3 linked regions of the Caenorhabditis elegans genome follow. The protein of the gene in region 1 interacts with the protein of each later gene in a pairwise test. Each region holds a gene or a part of one and is shown on either strand. Other genes may lie near its edges. The genes, in order: mcm-6, fbl-1 and rpia-1.

Region 1 (3,755 bases):
AAAAGTAATAACTGTCCGGACACATGAGGAAGGATATATTTTCTAATCTATATTTTCAGCATATCGGGATTCAATAGGAGCTATGATTTCGGTGGGTGTAACGTTCAATTATCTTCATCCAATGCTCACACTTATTCTGATGACTATTAATCGAATAGCAGTAGTTGTGAGTATGCAGGCATCTCAGCTTTTCACTTCTAGCAAAATATGGCTCTATACTTCATTTCATATGGTATCTTGAAATGCTAAGATTTCAAATGATACATTTATTCTTCAGACTGCCAATTTCGCATGTCTTATTATTCCCTATCTGAGTGAGTGTCGGATAAATTATGATATACGAAAAGTTGGATTCATATCTGAATGTGCACCAGACAGGCATCAGGTAAAGTAGATCTACGGATGATATCTGTGTTACAAAAATTAATAATTTAATTTGTAGATCACAACGTTCTCCAATTATTACTCTGTATTCTTTCCGTTCGTAGCATTCTTTTTCAATGTGCTAGTTATTATAAACTTCAAACTTCAAAGATCACCAACATATACAAAGATCAAAAATATGTTCCGACGTGGGAATGGAGATCAGTTTACATCAATGCCTTCGGATGTTTTAAAAGCGAAAAAGAAGACTGAACGAATGCTTATGATTCAAGCTTTTATCACTGCTTTCTATCTTTCTGTATATGAGCTAACAAGTCTTGTTCTACGAGTTGTTCCGGTATAAATTCAACGAAATAGCGTTTACTATGCAAGTTTTCAGGAACTCTTTGGAAATCTTTCGCTTGACGGAAAGCTCGCATTCACTTATTTTCGACTAGCTCAGGTGCCATGCCATGTATTTCTAGTATACTTCATTTTTACCCCTGTTACCAGAAAAATCTATATGGATTTTGTTCGAGAAAGAGTTTTCTGTATGAAACCAGCGAAAAAGAAGACAATCAAGGTATCTGCGACAACTACTTCCACTAAGAAATGAGTTTCGAATAAAATTGTTTACCTCTGTTCTGATTTGAAGTCTCAGCACGAAGTCCAGGAGTGCTCAATTGAGCAATATCTGGAATGACGATAAGAGTTCCAACAATGTCACATTTATCTCCTGGTTGGACAGTTTCAACCATTTCTCCTCGAACAATCACATCGACAGTACGTGGAATTGATCCACGAGGCAACTCTGCTTGAGTCTCCTGAATTCTAATCTTCTGGAAGTCGACGAAAGTAGATGAGTTGACATCGAGACTGAATCTGGTACGATTCATGCATTGAGGATTAGCACATTTAGTTGGCTGAAAACATTTGAATTCGTTATAAGCTAATTATTATCTCCGCATACCTGAGTGTATCTGAACTGCTGTTGAACATCACGTGTGGTAACACCGCAATCCTCACACACGAAACAAGCCCGTGAAAGTTCTGGATGCACTGGGTGAGTTCGGACAATCTGACCGGCAATGCGCACGAGGCCTCCGACTTTGTCCGCAGAAAGCTCACGAACTTTCGTTTTCGCATCGAGATTGAACAGCGAAACGTACAATTGCTTCTTGAACATTTGCTGTCTCTCACTTTCATCACAAGCATCTAAAGTGGCCAAGTGTAGAGCTTCGCACATGAATGGATAGACCCTGAAGTATATTTATAAGTATTCGAAAATACTAATCGAATTTAATTTACCTGTAGTATTGCAGCTCGATAGTTGTTGCGAGATTGTTACTGAACTTGTAGAGATGTTGCATGTTAATGAAAATGGTATTCTTTTCTGGTTGCACGAGCTCCTTCATCGCAGATTTGTAGATAAACTCATTTTTCTGGTCTTTGAAGCTCTTCAAAAACTTGGAAAACTCGTTCTGCACACGAGTTCCGTCGGTGTCCTCCACTTGCTGGGCTTGACCGCCGATAATGTTGTCCATGCTGAAAGAATTGATTTAAAAAGAATTAAGGCAACTTTCTTAATCGAAAAAGTAAGAAAGAGAACTAGAAATTCAGGAAGTCGGTGCAATCTGAAGAGGAAAACAATGAGAATGCGGGAAAACGACGAGAAATAAGACACCTAAAATTCAAAACTCAATTTTGGCGGCAACCTGCGTACCGAAACACTGGAGTGTTGTAGACGAAACAGTGTGCGCGGTAAAGAGACGCAGACAAATTAGGCGCGAAAACTGTGCGGCTGTGAATTTGAATTTCGACAGAAATTCATTGTCATTCAGAAACTTGCTTTTTCAGATGTAAAAGATATATTTTATGAATAAAATAAAAAACTTATTGGGAAAAATCAAAAACAGAAAAAGGCGCTTTAAAAAATAACAATTCTTGCCATGTCGTCGCAAGACCATTTCCCAAAAACGTGCCTCCCTTGAAACTCACACGGTACGGTACTTTGATAAAAATCGGGCCTACGATTTCTAATTTAATAGCCTGTAATGTAGACTTCAAGAATCAGTAGTTATTGAGAGTCACGAAAAATTTGAAACATGCAAAATTCTCATTCAAACTTGAATTAATTTCAAGGGGAGATAGGTTACCTTGAGACCATTCGGGTTACTGTACTTCTTAGAATTTCAGAAATTCGGGCGATGTTTAGAATGAATAAATATGAGTCAGACGTGCGCAACAGGCCGAGGAAACTTATGCGAGAATATGTGTATGTTTGCTTTCTGGACACTACAACTTCCAAGCTTTGTCGACAGAAAAGTTGTGTTATACTGCTTTATCGATAAGTATGCACTTTCTCTTTAAATTATTCGTTTTGATTTTAAATCTAACTCTGATCTCAAATGGTGAGTTTCGACAATTTTAAAAGTTCAAAGTTCAAAAGGCGCTATAGTATGATGAAATTCACCTATAAACATTTTTTAGAGATTTCCATTTAATTTTGAAAGGCGCACGCTGGATTTCTGAGTGGGTCTCGACACGATCTCGGTGCTACAAGCCATATTTCTCACCTAGCTTCAAGTTTATTGGAAAATATGATGAATTTTATTAAAATACCTTGTCAAAGAATTGTTTCAGTTAAATCTCAATCATACAATGACGTCATTTGCCGCCGACCGTGGTATTTTAACTCACCACGACCTGCTCCAATGTAAGTTGGAGAATATTATAATTGGCAAATAATTCCGTTTTTCTCGTTTAGGAGGTGTCCAACTGCTTCTTTCTTCACATATTATGAATGTTGTGGAGAGTTCTTGGAAAACTGTTGTTGGAGATTTAGACAAGAACCCATGTAAGCTTTTTGTAAAGTAGCTCTAACTAGATCCACATCTAAGTCATATAAATCCACAGAAGAAATTTAAGTTTTCATTTGAGCATCTGTAGTAGAATGAGACATCTCTCAGAACATCCCTATAAGGGGATGAAATTTTGGATTTCTTAATTTGGAACATCTTAAACAGGAACATCTTGAAAACTAAACTTTTTTCAGAATAATCGGAGTAATTCTTCTTGTTCTTCTCTTACTTGTATGTTGCTGTTGTTGTGTTTCTTGGATATTCGTTGGAAGAAAAAAGAAATCTTCAAATATTGAACCAGAAAAGAAGCCAACAAAGAAAGACTCACAAATTCAAACAATTAGCAGTTCAACAATAGATTCTGGAACTCAATGGGAACTCCGAAGAAGCTACGAGGAAACTGATAAAAGAAGGTCTTATGCAGCTGCTAGAGATCAAGAACTGGATTATCAATATTTTCAATAATTATATATTCTGCTCAATTGGATTTTTTTTTGAAAAATTAAAACGTTCCGATTTTCATTTTCCTTG
Region 2 (3,755 bases), on another chromosome or scaffold:
TCGAAAAATATTATATTGTCAATTAACATAGCTTCCAATTTCTCATTCAGTTAGTCATTTAAAAAGCAAGAACCTTCACACTGCGAGTTAGTATCACTCCAATAATATCCTCGATTGCAGACACAGGAACCATCGCCACGATTATTCCCAGGAGAGGGTAGACAATGTTGATTAGAATGTGAACATGGATGATGGAGAGAACATTCTAGGGATTGAGGGTTAGACAGACAGCACACGACAAATATTATTTCAAGAAACAGTTAATTTAGAATTAGATTAAACTTTAATTTTTTGAATTTAAAGTGCGCAAAAAACAATAAGCACACAACTTTTTAAATTTTGTTTTTTTTTTAATTTTCTTGTTAAATTATCTTACCAACGCAATGTCCATGTTGAAAAAGCCATCCCATTGGGCATCCAAACTCTGTATTTGCTTGTGATGCTTCTCTATATTCTCCAGCACGAGAATATGGATCGTCTCTCATTCTTCTTGGCGCATTGCCAATTCGATTGGCACGATGACGATGGGGAACAAGACGAGAAATTCTTCTCTGACAGATATATCCACCAATTGTGTTAACACAATCTTCAGACTGGGTACATGGGGATTGGCGGGTTAAACATTCGTTACGATCTGAAAGAGAAGCACAAAAGGTATGTGGGTAAGCTAGAGGACCGGGAATGGATGTAGTGAAAGTGGGAAAACTTTTTTCTGAAATCGTGAAATAACAAAAGAAAATTATCAAAGCTGCCAATTTGCATAAAATACATACCAATTTTCAGATAAACAGTGTGATGTTAATTTTACTATGTATTTTACTATTAATTTTATTATTTTCCATTCAAAATTAAATTTTCGAAAAGTTCTAACTTGGTTTTGACCTGCACAAAAAAAAGCGTAAAACATATTCATACCTACACAAGCCATTCCATCTGGTGCCAAGTCGAATCCAGATCTGCAACTGCATTCAACCTTTTCGCCTCCACGATCATGACAGAGGTGCTCACAGTGAGATGACGCACATCGGTCGCCGAGATGAAGTACATGTGGATCATTGAGTGGACGTCCTGTAAAACATGAAAAAACAATTTTAACATTAAATCGGGTATTTTTTATGAAAAGTTCCGAATTAAATTATTTCAATTTTTTAAAAAGAAATAATATTGAAAATGTTCTGTTTTCCTACCAGTTATGATCTCGGAAGCATGTGTGATTTCAATGTCACCATTACAACATTTATTGAAACTTCTCAAACATCCAGCTGAAAATCCAACTGGAGCAACACACGGTTCATTTCGATTGAGCAAATCTTTGGCTAGAAGACAGCAATCACAACACTCCTGAAATCCATCTCAATTTATATTTTTATTCGATTTTTTAAAATTACTTTTTTCAATCCACCTCCCAAAATATTTATATTACTTGGGCAGCTCTCCTCTTCTTTTGCAATATCTGTACCAGAGTCACATGCATTATCCAATAAACTTCTGAGACAACATATGGATGCAGCTCTTTGGCACGTCATACTTGTTCCTTCGCTTTTGATACTTGAACAAGTATTTGAATTCTTGAAATGACGAGTTCCTCCAGCACAACATCTTGTAAGTTCGTTGGCAAAGGTCTCTGAAAATTTTGAAAGTTTCCCGTTGTTTGTGATAGTTTTCTTTTTATGGATAATGTTAGAAAATGGCCTATTTTCAAAGTGTTTTTGAGGGCCCTCTTTATTAATTATTCATAAAATTTAAATAAATATTTGAAAAAATTTAAAAAGCTTACCTGCCACCAAAAATGCCAATAATAAGAAACAAATTCGCATATTTCTATCCAATCTACTAAAATTTCCACGGGGTTTCCGTAATTCTGTAAGAAAGCAGATAATGTTGTAACGGAAACACAAAAAGTTGTGAATTGGAACGGAAGTGGCACGACACAAAGAAAATGAGTAGGATTTCGAGGAAAGATCAAATAATATCACATCATCATGTGCTCATTTAGATCATATTTCGTACACAGGGCAAGTAAAAAAAGTTTGTACTGAAAACTTTCAGATTTTTAAAAAAAGAAGAATAAAAGAAAAAACTCCCATAAAAACAATGAAACTGATAAGAATTTATGAAAACGTGTGAAAACCTCACAAAAGCCGTTTAGTGATAAGTGTTACGCAAGACGCAAAAAGAATGATAAAACAGAAAATAATAACAATAAAAATAGCACAACATATTACTATTCTTATCACATTTTGCTCAAAAATTCGTTGTGTCTAAATCGAAAAGCTTTCCAACATTCCCGATTTGGAACCGCCCATCTATCTGCTTCTGCCTGCGTCTCATGTTCCCGCATTTTCCTTTCTAATCTAAGCTTATTGTTATTAATATTATTGAGATGTATGTAGATGTATATGTGCCCGTAAATGACACGGATAATAGTCTGGTTAATTAAGTGAAACAATTTCAAATGAGCATTGAAAGGAAGAGGGAGGAGCATTGGAACAGATGTTTACATGGAATGTTTCGAGGAAATGTGAGATTTTGGGTATATTTTTAGAACAGAAAAATGGCAAACGACACTGTTGAAACCAAAACAAAAAATTTATTTGAATTATTTTAGTTTTTGAAAATATTAAATTGAAAAAAAACGGTCTTTCATTGGAATAGCGCAAAATTGATCGACGGGGTTTATGGTGGATTTATAGTTAAAATCGGAAAATACCTATCCGATTTTTGTTTTACGTTTCAGGGCAACAATCATACTTACTCAGAATTTGGAGCTGACTTCTTGAGCAGTTTTTTCCCAAAAAATAGACTTGGTTGAGAAGTTGTGAAGCTTTTGCACAGTTTGAGTTAGACTTGTGAAACCATTATGAAGCTATTACCAAAGTATCTACAAGTTTGAACAACTATTTCCAATGTCTTATCCAATGTTACAACGACACAAAAAAGTTTTTGTAAGATACTGGCAAGAGTTTCCCAAAATTCTCTCTTGTTCTAGAGTTGGAAACGAAAATGGATAAAAAATAAACGCCAAGTGTTTTACAAGTTTTTACAAGTTTGCATATTTACAAGTTATATACATTTTCAAACTCGAAAACAGTATTTTCATAATCGGCAAGTGACTCATCTGTTTGAAACCTCTAAATAAAAAGTTTAACACTCAATCGCAACATAACACAATGTGAGAAAATGATACATCGTCAGTCAGTCAGCAGTCTTCTTCATCTTTTTTCTTTTCGTTTACATGATCAGAAGCATTTTCGAGGGCGGAGCTCGTAAAAAGAGATCGTAAACGATGGAGGAGGAATGAGTTCACATGTGATGGTACACATTCAGAAAATAAAATGAAAATCTTTTTTGAACTCAAAGGCATGAATGTTGGAAAAACATTGGGAAGTGGGGAAAATGGTGGGAAGTTTCAGGATTTGATTATTTTTGGTTAAAAATCCGGCAATTTCTTTTCTCGTTTGTATGAATATATTTCTTTTCTCGTTTGTATGAATATCTATATTTTAACCGTTTAAATTTCAGATCTTTTTGAACATAATTGAAATTTTTAAAGATTAGATAGATTGCAGTTTTTAAAGTTTTGTAGGAAATAACTGAAAATAAATATGTTCTTTGTTTCAAAAAAAAATGACTGCCAAATATTTGACACCACAAATTTTGTATGCGCCTTATACCTCTGATACTCGTTAATTCGGAGCCTCATTTTGGTTTGGAATAAACTAGGGGTGGCGATAGGTCGACCTGTTGCAACCTAT
Region 3 (3,689 bases), 2.7 Mb from region 1:
AAGTATCTGAAATGAGCACAAGCTAGTTGAATTGAAACTACATTTGTCTTTAAGCAGAGACCGTGCCTATCTCTTAGTGCACAAAATCATACCTTATCGCTTGCCGATATTCCTCTTAGAACACTATTTTTTTCGTTGATCTCGAGGAAATCACTCAATTCAGATGTAATCATTTGGAAATTAAAATTTGAACAATCTGGAATGAATAGAATACGAATGATACGATTTGACGAAAGTGCTTTTTAATACAGCAATTGTTAAAAATTTTGAAATATTTACTTATTTCCCAACTTTATCAGTATTTTTGAAATTATTGCTCGCTCTTAATTTTACCGCCTCCAATGAGTCATTTAGGAAGCAAATTCTCATTTCTTTCAATCTTTAAGCTATCCTCGCCATTCATACACTTCAAGACTACTGTAATTTGAAATTAAACAGTTTCAGACACTTTACATCCAGACACTTTACATTTCAAAACGTTTTCAGAGTTTTCTAATTTTTTTTTCAGTTTTTTAAGAAAGACGTTTTTTCAACACAATTTTTATTGGGGCTATTCTAAGAACTACACGTATACTAGGAACATTGGGAATGAATGGGTACAATTTTCACAACAACTGGGAAGAGGAAAAGTGAAGTTTGGAGAGTGTGGTGGTGATAAGAAACAACTAATTTTCAATATGAACAAAATTCGATGCAAGTAGTCAGTGCTTCTTGGAATTGACAATTTCCTTGACAGATCCGTCAGAGTACGCGAAGAATACTGCGTCGACGCAACCGATGAATAATCCGGTTTCAACAATTCCTGGTGTATTGGCCAATCGTTGCTGAATCGCGAACCAATCTCTTCCGGATACGTTTTTCTCGAACTGCCAATCAATAATGAAGTTTCCATTGTCTGTCACAATTGGTCCGCACTTTTTGACAGCTTGTCGAAGTTGACAGCTTCCACCTTCAGCGCGTGGAATCGAACGTAGAAGTGGTTGAGCAGCAAGAGGTAGAACCTGCAATAAATCTCATTAAAAACAGTCAACATAACTACATCTATTTAGAAAAAACTATTGTTCTAAAGTTTATTCTTTAGTGCATCTTTCTTTACTGATAATTATAAAAAGTTAAATAATTTACCTCAATTGGGACATTCGGATAGCGATCACCCAAGTGTTTGGAATCTTTTAAATAATCAGCGATCACGTAAAAGTTTTTTGCAGCGGTTTGAACAATTTTTTCTTGAGCCAGACATCCACCTCCGCCTTTGATGCACGTGAACTGTCCGTCAACTTCATCAGCTCCATCAATACACACATCCAGTTCTGGATGTGAATCCAAATCGGAGACAGGGAGACCAGACTCAATCAGCCATTGTTTTGTCTGAAATACTTATTTATAACAATTGGGTTTGTTGAAAATCTGTTTACCAAAAAACTGGTTGGAACACAGATGATATCCTTGAGACTTCCATTCTGAAATCCTTGTTTAAGATATTCTACCAAATACTTGACAGTGCTTCCGGATCCAACACCAAGACGGCAACCACTTTGCACATATTTTTCACCGCAGGCAAACGCAGCCTGAAATGATTAATGAGGGTTGGAATTGGTCTTAATTTTTGACTTACTCGTTTCTTCGCCTGCTCAATAGGAGCCAGTTCTGCTTCAGGGCCGGTGGAGGTGACCATTCTGGCGGTTCGCAATACTCCTGATAATGGAAATTTTGTAGAAAACATACAAAAATGCTGAAAAGAAAACGAAAACAATAGTAAATTGATAAGAAAGACTGAAATTTTCAGCTGAAATACTGAAATTAATGAAATTCTGCATTGAGACGTGACGGTGTTTGCACTAAAACTACGATAACACACACTATTTGACGACAATTGCTTCTCATTTTTCTTTTTTCTTTTCCGAATTTTCTTTAATTTTCAGCTTATTGAATCTTTCATTAAGGTTATTTTGAACAATTTTCAGAGAAATGAGCAAACGGCCAGTGATTGAGTCTGAAAAGCCTGCGTGGCACGATGAGGACGACGATAATATGGTTGTGGCGGTTCCAAAAAAAGTGAAAATGACAATGCGAGTTGAACTCAAGCGAACCACAGACGAAGAACATGGAGAATTGGATTCAAAGGTAAATTTTTTTTAGAAATACGTTATTCAACGTGTAATAAAGATTATATAATTGAAAATAGGCAGAAGGATAAATTACTTCTGAAAAATAATTTTAATATTTTAGGAATACGTTGGTAGATTGCAAGAGGCGTTCAGAAAACGCCACGGAGGCACACCAAAATGGGCTAAGGCTGCTGCAGGTTTTTGGAAAATCAATAGTTCAAAAATCGTATTTTACAATTTTAGGAGACGAAGAAGAAGGGTCATTGTTGAAAACTGCTGCCGGATATTTGGCGAAAGACGTGAATTTACCAAAAACAACTATTCATACAACTCTTATAAAAGATTTCAACATCGGACACCGATACACTCGTGGAATCACTGTTGTTAAATTTCATAAAACCCGACCAGTGCTCATTGTTGCCGATCAAGGTGGAAATGTTCAACTTTTTAAAGTAAGTTGTGTTTTCTGTTTTAATTAAACCATTCCTTACTTATTTCAGGTAAGTCGTGAGGTTAAAAAGGATCGTTTCCTTCAAAGTGCGAATTTCTCAAAATTCCCGATTGATAGTCTGGAAATTGCTGATAAAGGACACTCTGTGATCTGTTCTTCAAGCCGAAAGGAATATTTGATGCAGTACAATATGGAAACAAGAGAAGTGACACAGTTGAAACCTCCAAACAGTACGTTTAATATTTAATAAAATTTGAAGCAAAACTTTGAACATTTTACAGCAGTACCAAAGCAAGGAATTCGGCTCTTTGCCATTTCGCATGACTCTCAATTTTTGGCAATTGCAGGACACAATTCTCACATCTATGTTCTCCATGCTACTGTATGTCAAAAAATTAAATTATTGGCAAATTAAAAGTTTAAATGTAAAATGTTTCAGTCGATGGAGCATATCACAACAATATCACTCCCAGCAAATGCGTCAGAAATCAAGTTTTTCCCATCGCACAGCCGTGAAATTTGGATCATCTGCGGTTGGTTTTATATTGCCAAAAATTCAAAAATTATTCGAAATTTCTAGAGACCGGCCAAATTGTGATCGCAAACATTGGATTGCCGGGAACCAAATCATCGCAACATACATTCACCGACGATGGAGCTGTGCACGGAACAACACTCGCCATCAGCCAACATGGAGATTACTTTGCGACTGGGTAAGCTTTTTTAAAATCAAACTTTTATAATTCGTAAAATCACGATACTGTCATTCATTCATATAATTCATATATTAATATAATTGTACAGTTTGCTACATCTTTTTTTTTGTTGATATTTTCAGTTTAGCAACAAAAATTTAAAAAAAAAAATCTTTTTTTGTTGAATTCCGGTGAAAATAAATGACCTAGTCTTTACATACATCCTGATTATATGATGAAAATTTGAAATTTCCAGAAGTGATACCGGAATCGTGAATGTCTATTCTGGAAATGATTGCCGCAATTCTACAAATCCTCGTCCACTTTTCAATGTTTCTAATCTCGTCACCGCGGTCTCATCAATCGCTTTCAATTCTGATGCTCAATTGATGGCAATTTGTTCAAATGTCAAGGACAATCATCTTCGTCTCGTCC

What was found.
Region 2: the proteins of mcm-6 (region 1) and fbl-1 interact in a two-hybrid assay, tested with the Caenorhabditis elegans proteins (one large-scale study listed by BioGRID).
Region 3: the proteins of mcm-6 (region 1) and rpia-1 interact in a two-hybrid assay, tested with the Caenorhabditis elegans proteins (one large-scale study listed by BioGRID).

What each region holds. Positions count from the first base shown.
Region 1 is NC_003281.10:9,792,520-9,796,274, reverse strand, and holds the start of mcm-6 (DNA replication licensing factor mcm-6), read right to left. Parts: upstream 1,909-3,755; 5' UTR 1,908-1,908; coding exon 1,672-1,907; intron 1,623-1,671; coding exon 1,334-1,622; intron 1,287-1,333; coding exon 1,001-1,286; exon of another isoform or gene 980-1,000; coding exon of another isoform or gene 764-979; intron 722-763; coding exon of another isoform or gene 443-721; intron 386-442; coding exon of another isoform or gene 278-385; intron 233-277; coding exon of another isoform or gene 60-232; intron 5-59; coding exon of another isoform or gene 1-4. Other genes in the region: srxa-10 (Serpentine receptor class XA 10), read left to right, coding at 1-4, 60-232, 278-385, 443-721, 764-979; R10E11.9 (uncharacterized protein), read left to right, coding at 2,717-2,774, 3,007-3,079, 3,131-3,220, 3,419-3,689.
Region 2 is NC_003282.8:9,538,914-9,542,668, reverse strand, and holds the start of fbl-1 (Fibulin-1), read right to left. Parts: upstream 1,862-3,755; 5' UTR 1,818-1,861; coding exon 1,778-1,817; intron 1,625-1,777; coding exon 1,389-1,624; intron 1,342-1,388; coding exon 1,188-1,341; intron 1,069-1,187; coding exon 916-1,068; intron 635-915; coding exon 377-634; intron 1-376. UniProt on the Caenorhabditis elegans protein: Incorporated into fibronectin-containing matrix fibers. Plays a role in cell adhesion and migration along protein fibers within the extracellular matrix (ECM).
Region 3 is NC_003281.10:7,121,171-7,124,859, reverse strand, and holds rpia-1 (Probable-ribose 5-phosphate isomerase), read right to left. Parts: upstream 1,733-3,689; 5' UTR 1,676-1,732; coding exon 1,616-1,675; intron 1,569-1,615; coding exon 1,416-1,568; intron 1,369-1,415; coding exon 1,126-1,368; intron 1,002-1,125; coding exon 702-1,001; 3' UTR 525-701; downstream 1-524. Other genes in the region: B0280.2 (uncharacterized protein), read right to left, coding at 1-6, 93-173; B0280.9 (U3 small nucleolar RNA-associated protein 18 homolog), read left to right, coding at 1,969-2,124, 2,230-2,305, 2,352-2,560, 2,609-2,789, 2,841-2,941, 2,999-3,092, 3,140-3,272, 3,511-3,689.